Linked DNA regions of Sus scrofa. The protein of the gene in region 1 interacts with the protein of each later gene in a pairwise test. Links are inferred from orthologs where the notes say so. Each region holds a gene or a part of one and is shown on either strand. Other genes may lie near its edges.

The links.
Region 2: the proteins of EPM2AIP1 (region 1) and SERPINF1 interact in binary tests that used the Homo sapiens proteins (3 or more experiments, as listed by UniProt). The two-hybrid records come from large-scale screens. The link is inferred for Sus scrofa from reciprocal best matches to the Homo sapiens genes EPM2AIP1 and SERPINF1.

The regions. Positions count from the first base shown.
Region 1 is NC_010455.5:21,876,505-21,880,251, reverse strand, and holds the start of EPM2AIP1 (EPM2A-interacting protein 1), read right to left. Parts: upstream 2,390-3,747; 5' UTR 2,107-2,389; coding exon 280-2,106; 3' UTR 1-279.
Region 2 is NC_010454.4:47,955,476-47,959,122, reverse strand, and holds part of SERPINF1 (pigment epithelium-derived factor precursor), read right to left. Parts: coding exon 3,568-3,647; intron 2,439-3,567; coding exon 2,296-2,438; intron 714-2,295; coding exon 503-713; intron 35-502; coding exon 1-34. UniProt on the Homo sapiens protein: Neurotrophic protein; induces extensive neuronal differentiation in retinoblastoma cells. Potent inhibitor of angiogenesis.

The DNA of each region.
Region 1 (3,747 bases):
AACAATTATATCATAAAAGCAAAAGATAATGACTCTGCCACCAAGTTTTGAAAAAAGGTATCTGCATGTTTCAGTCTCATGCTGCCTCTTGAAAAGAGGAAAAAAAAATTGTCTGAAGCATTTGAATTGTGAAAAATGTCTGCGATGAAAGTTTTTTCACTTTGGGTGAAAAAACATGGTACTCTCCCACAATCCAAATTAGTAAAGTTGAAAATCAAACATATTTTTGCTTTTAGAGTTGGATTCTTGTTGAGTGTTTCGGTGTTGTACTACAAAAGCTTATGGATTCGATTCATTTCTTCCTCTCACAAGATCATCCCATTGAGGCTCTATTTCAGTGGTGGCAATCCGAAACAGGGCGTGGAGGTGTTCGTCTGTCAATGGGTGGCTCAAGGTGTGCTGGTTTCGAGTCAAATATGAAAAAGCCTTTTCACAAATCTTGCTACTATCAAACAAGGATGCTACCTTACAGGCAACCCCTTTGATAATTGGGTAAGATTCAGCAGACAGTCCGGCATAGAATTGCCCCAAGTCTTTGGTTCTGTATTCGTTCCAAAGATTAGTATTTGCCTGAAGTTTTGTTAGCTCCACCCTTACTGAAATAGGTGCATATTCAGCTTTAAAGCTAAATGGATTTGCAAAAAGCTCTAAGTCCTTTTTAATGAACTTGAGGTCCTTGAAATGTCTCTCAAATTCTTTTTGTAGGCGACAGATCACTACTTGATACCTTTCAGGATCAAGTATTTTTTCATCTTCTTGAAGATGCTCTTTAAGCTCATCAACAACTTCTCTCAAGGCGGCAAAGTGTGTTAGATTTTTTTCCTCGATATGTCTCTGAAGTAAATTCAGCTTAACTTCAAAGGTACAAATATGGTCAAAGGCAGCAGCAGCAAAGACTTTACTTACTCTCAATAGTTCGCTGAGTTCTCGAAGGTGGTCCATAATATCCACCAAAAAGCCAAAGTCACAAAGCCACTGCTTGTCTGTGAAATGGACCGTTGTTGCCCCTATTGAAACCAAAAATGTTTTTATCTCTTTTCTTAAAGAAAATATTAGTTTTAAGGTCTTCCCTCTTCTAAGCCAATTGTTCAGACAGCGTCCATTAACCCTTTCACCATGCTCTGATTCCGATTCAGTTAGTAAAGCCTGAAATTCTGGCCGCCTAACGCCTCTGGTCTTAATCAAAACTATCCATTCAGATATGGCATTTATGATCTGATTAACATCCACATCGTAGGAGCTCAACAGTTCCAAGTGAAGAAACCCCGAATAATGGATAACATTCCAACAGTTGGGGCTTACAGCCTTTTCTCTCATGTATGACACCAGCCCTGAGTTCTCACCAATCATCCTCAGAGTGTGGGTCGTGGTCAGTCCAACCATCCGCTGCAGGCTAAGCCCTGCAGTTTGCAGGGCCTCAAGGATTGCCGCCATGAGGGCACCAACACTGAAGTGCTGAGTCAGGTTGATGATGGTCAGAAGCTCTTCCTGCACCTCTAAATCGTGGCCCACGCCGCGGACAAAGACGAGGAGGTAGTTCTCATAGGCCACAAAAGCCTGGTCGTCCAACGCAAGGGAATAGGCCTTAAAGTCCTTGGCTCGGTTAAAAAGCTGACTGCGTAGATTCTGGTTAATGTCTAGGACCCTCTGCTGCGTGATCTCCGGAGATAAATCAATGCCATCCATAACGCCTACGTGATCAGGCAGCACATCTCTGAGCATCACCTCCATGCACCGGTACACGAAGTCCCCCTCACCCCAGCCGCGACCCTTCAAGGCCAAGAGGCGGGTGAGCCCGAGGCCTGCACGAGCAGCTCTCTCCTCCGGGGTGAGCGGGGCGGCATCGGGCAAGTCGCCCTGACGCAGACGCTCCACCAGGGCCGCGCGCTCGCCCTCCGCCACATACCGCTCGTAGTAATCGTGCTCCGCCTCGTAGTGGTGCCTGACATCGGGTTCGCCATTGGCTACGACCAGGCGGCGACAGACCAGGCACAGGGCGCCTTCGCCTTCCGGAGGCTCCACAACCAGGTAACGCTGAGTCCACTCGGCCTGGAAACCCCGAGGCTCCTCGATTTCCATTTTGCTCCTCTTGGGCGTCATCCACATCTCACGGGAGACCACTGGATCTGGGCCGACCTCCCGGAGGCCGCAAGGAGAGGGGAGGAGCAGGAGCGATCCCCAAGCGCCAACTCCGCTCTGCGCCAGATCACCCCAGCTGGGGAAACCACTGGGGTTCCGGCACCTTGATTCCTATTGGCTGGAGATTTCGTATTCCCCTGCCGCAAGCATGAGCCAATAGGAAGAGCGGACACTGATTTTTAGCGCGCAGGCGCATATCCTTCTCGCTGCAAAGTGCACTAAAGCCGCCTAAGGAGGGCTAAGAGAACAGGAATCATGGAGCTAAGAACTTGACTGGCATTCAAGATGCCCAATCAGTACCTCTCTGTCCCGGAAGTGGTGTTGCCGCTAGAGGGCGGGACGGGACGGCGTCAGCAGTGTTGCTGGAAGGATGTGGGTGCGAAGCTCTAAGGAGATTGGCTGAAAGCCCTTCCAGTGAGCGTCTCACCGTTACACGGCCTGCTCTGGCGCCAAAATGTCGCAGGTACCGGGAGTTATCCGGCGGTTGGACGAGACAGTGGTGAACCGCATCGCGGCAGGGGAGGTTATCCAGCGGCCGGCTAATGCCATTAAGGAGATGATTGAGAACTGGTACGAAGGGAGGAGTCCAGGCTTCCTTAGAACCTAACGGGCCACTGCTCAGGATGGCGCGGACACGCCTCTCTGCCCTGAGTGGAGGGGTGTGCCGCGCGCCGCCGCCGCGGGGAGGCCGGGGTCCTGCCTTCCTCTCTCCCGGGTCCTCGAGCGTCCCTTCGAGACTTTAGGGTTGATGGGGGCACAAAGAGAGGGCGATACAGTATTGTTTTAATGGTGCCATCAACTAAGAGAAATTCTAAAATTATATGTGCAGAAGATGCAACTTTTTAAACGTTTAAAAAGCTTTTTACATTTAAGAAGAAAAAACACCCCTCTCTTCATCCTTCAGAGGGCGTCAGTTTCTTGCTTATTCTGTATACATTCAGAAGTACAATTCCTTTTTAATTTTTTTTTTCTTCTCGGGCCGCTCCCGCGGCATATGGAGGTTCCCAGGCTTGGGGTCCAATCGGAGCTGTAGCTGCCGGCCTACGCCAGAGCCACAGCAACGCGGGATCTGAGCCGCGTCTGCTACCTACACCACAGGTAGGTAGCAGACGCGTCTGCTCACAACAACACCAGATCCTTAACCCACTGAGCAAGGCCAGGGATGGAACCCGCAACCTCATGGCTCCTAGTCGGTTTCGTCAACCCCTGAGCCACGATGGGAACTCCTGAATTTTATTTTATTTTATTTTATTTTTTAATTTTATTTATTTTATTTTATTTTTTTTACTTTATTTATTTTATTTTATTTTTTATTTTATTTTATTTTATTTTACTTTATTTTATTTATTTATTTTATTTTATTTAATTTTATTTTTTTATTTTATTTATTTTATTTTATTTATTTTATTTTATTTTTGCCATTTCTTGGGCCGCTCCCAGGGCATATGGAGATTCCCAGGCTAGGGGTCTAATGGGAGCTGTAGCTGCCGGCCTACGTGCCAGAGCCACAGCAACGCAGGATCCGAGGGGCGTCTTCGACTTACAACATAGCTCACGGCAATACCGGGATCGTTAACCCACTGAGCAAGGGCAGGGATCGAACCTGCA
Region 2 (3,647 bases), on another chromosome or scaffold:
CTAAAGTCTGGTGAATCAAACAAGGATTGCAGCTCTGCAGAGATTGAGAGAGATTTCCTTCCGTTAGAGAAACCTGGCCTCGTCAGCACTCCAAGGAAGAATACTGTCCTGATCCTTAAATCCTGATTCTCAAGAAGGCACGCAAGCTGGGAGGGGAACACTTCTTTTGTCCTTCTGGGAGGTATGTAGCTCTGGGCTGGTTAAGGGTTAAGAGACTTGCCCAAGAGCACATGGCAGGTGGGGTTAAGATTAGAAATCAGGTCAAGAGACCTATCTTGAGAGGCGCTGCTGCTCTGAGTTCCTGTTACAGGGAGTGTGCTCAGGGCTGAGGAATGAGTGTGATAAGGGAGGCAGTTCAGTCTTGCCCGCCAGCACTGTTAGAATTAAGGAATCCCTGGCCTTCCTACAGGGCCATGGAGCCCTCGACTTCTGCTCAGCAAGGTCGAAGGTCCAAAGCCACCACCCCAGCCACCCCAAGAGCAAAGAGAACTTGCAGACTTACTCAGTTCCTGCACAGACTTCGTGAGTTCGCCTTCGTAACTCAGTTTCAGCTTGGGGACGGTCAGGACCGCTTGAACCGTCTTCAGTTCTCGGTCTATGTCGTGAATGAACTCAGAGGTGAGGCTCTCTTCTATCATGGTCAGGTTCTGGGTCACTTTCAGAGGCAGGAAGAAGATGATACTCATGCTTCCGGTCAAGGGCAGCTGGGCGATCTGCAGCCACAGGAAGGAAGCACATGGGTTAGTACGTTGGAGCCCAGGAGCCTAGGGATAGACACACACCCTGAGCCGCCTTCTCCTCTCCTGTGACCAGGCCCCGCCACGCCTCCCAGCCCCTCATCCGAACAACACTTGTCCCTCTAAGCTATTGCTTTCCCGCAGCAAGATGTCTACTAAGGTTTCTTCAAAATCAGCCTGATACCAACTGAGGGTATCTGCGGAAAGAATTTTCTCCTGTGGTTCTAGAGCTAGAATTGAATCCAGGTCTGTTTTCTCCCAAAGTTTGTCTGCCAGCAGTTACTGATTATCTCTTAAGTACAGAGCCCTGGACTAGAAATGGGGGCATTAGGCACTGCAACATAGAAGCAGCAATACAATGGTCCTTTGAGCAGAGGTTCTTCAATCCATGGGACAAATGGCTTCGGAGTCCCAGCAGCCCCTGAATCATTTACAGAAACATGGCGTTTCTCTCCAGTGCTTCAGGCTAAGAACGACTGACTTAGGGAGTTCTCTGATGGCCTGGAGGGTTAAGGTGCCTGTGTTTGCACCTCTGTGGCTCCAGTTGCTGCTATGTGGCACAGGTTTGATCCCATGCCTCAGGTGTGGCAAAAAATTAAAAAAAAAAAAAAAGGAAGAATCTGAAATAAATGTTGCAACTCTCATTTTTAAAAAAGTAATAGGAGTTCCAGTCGTGGCACAGCGGAAACAAATCCGACTAGGAACCATGAGGTTGTGGGTTCGATCCCTGGCCTCGCACAGTGGGTTAAGGATCCAGCATTGCCGTGAGCTGTGGTGTAGGTCGCAGATGCGGCTCAGATCTGGCGTGTCTGTGGCTGTGGTGTAGGCTGGCAGCTACAGCTCCGATTAGACCCCTAGCCTGGGAACCTCCATATGCCCTGGGTGCAGCCCTAAAAAGACAAAAAACAAGTAAATAAATAAATAAATAAATAAAAATAATGACTGACTTAGAATTTTCAAAAGTCAGGTTTATGTAAAAGACTTAGAATGCCCACAGTACGGCGTCTGTGACTGTTTTGGTGTTGAATTCTAAATATACAAGATCCACTCGCCTGCCCCCCCAAAAAAAAGAAAAAGAAGGAAAGAAAAGACAAGAAAACAGCGGTATTTGAGTGCTCAATCTTGGGGGCTCATTTCACATTACCTTATTAACCCTTACAACAAACCCTGAGTGAGAATGTAAGTTTCAATAGCTATACCCTTTCATTTTAAGAAGAAAGGCTCAGAGGCATTCCCACTGTGGCACAACAGGCTCAGTGGTGTCTTGGGAGAGCTAGGACAGGTTCATTCCCTAGCCTGGCACATTGGGCTAAGGATCCAGCATCGCCATAGCTGAGGCCTAGGTCGCCACTACAGCTCGGATCTGACCCCTGGCCCGGGAACTTCATATGCCACAGGGTGGCCAAAAAGGAGAAGAAAGGCTCAGAGATGCTATTAACTCGATGAAAGTCACACAGCGGGCAAAATGTAGAAGCCTGTCCGATCTCACAGGTCATTCCATTTCCACTGCACTGTCCTGCCTGTCCCCCCACCCACCACTCACGCTGCCCCCACAGACCTTGCAGTTGAGATCAGAATCCAAGCCGTAGCGTAAAACGGCCTTAGGGTCTGACATCATGGGCACCTTCACGGTTCTCTCCTCATCCAAGTGGAAATCCTCCAGCGACGTCTTCCTGGAGTCAAACTTGGTTACCCACTGCCCTGGAATGAAACAAGTGGAGTGCCCTGAGCCCCGGGAGACCAGAAAGCCATTGGAACCGCCCTGAGGCCAAAGCATGCTGTTGACAATTCCCTGGCTGAAAGAACCATAGAGGCCCTCACACCCCGGGGAATAGGGGTAGCTCAGTGTGCAGTCAGGACCACACTATTTCTAGGGTTGGAAGCAGAAGGAAACTCAGAAGGAAACAGCTTGATGTTATTGATTTGACTGCCGAGTTTATCCAGGGCCTGGGCTAGCCTGGGAGAAGGGAAAACTGGCGTCTGCTTCTGCACGGACGTGTCCGGAGACAGACCGCAGGGAGGCCAGAGCTGGAAGGGCCCTCCATGTCGCGTCATCAGGCTCTCACCGCTGGAAAAGCACGGAAGCCCAGAGAGGAAAAGTGACTTGCCAGCGCTCACATGGCCAGCTGACAATTTAATGTGGCCTTTGACTCTGGTTGGTAACAGCTTCTTTCACTTCCTGGAGATCAGTGGTTCAGGGGGAGCTTTTCTCTAGGAGTTTAGGGGTCCATTCTCAGCACTGCCTGATGGTTATAAACCATTTTAAGGGGAGGTTGCCCAGAATCCCACACCAGGCCTGTCTGAATAGGGCCGGCCTCGCAGGGGGCCCAGAGACTAGCCGAGGAGTATGCTGCTCGAGAACGAAGAGCGGTTTCTCGCATGCCTGCCCTGTCCTAGACACAGCGTCAGGGTCCATGTGAAGACAGGAGAAACACGGAAAGATGCCCCTGAAGCCAGCGTGTTGTCCCCGCATTAGAGACGAGAAAACAGGCCCAGGAAGGCTGTGACACTTGCGCAGGACTCTCCAGCCAGTGCAGGCAGAGCCGGGCCTGGACCCTTGTCTGACTCCAGCCAGACTCCTCCCTACCAGTAGCCAGCCCGCACAGACACTAGAGCGGGAGTGCCCTCCCCACTGCCAGTCTTGGGCCACAGTCTCTCCCTTTGCAGGCGCTCACCCAGTGTTTGCTTGGGTTCGAGGACAAGCAGGCAGCCCTCACTCAGGCAGGAGCCCCTCCTGGGTCCTCCCCTGCCTTCCTTGACTGGCCCTCTTGCCTGGCCCCATCAGACACCCACCGGCCACGCTGGGCCAAAAGCGAAGTGAAGCCCTCACCCTTGAAGTAAGCCACACCAAGAAGGAGGATGCTGATTTCGCCGGGCAGTTCCCGCGTGGACCTGGCGACTTTCCCTTTC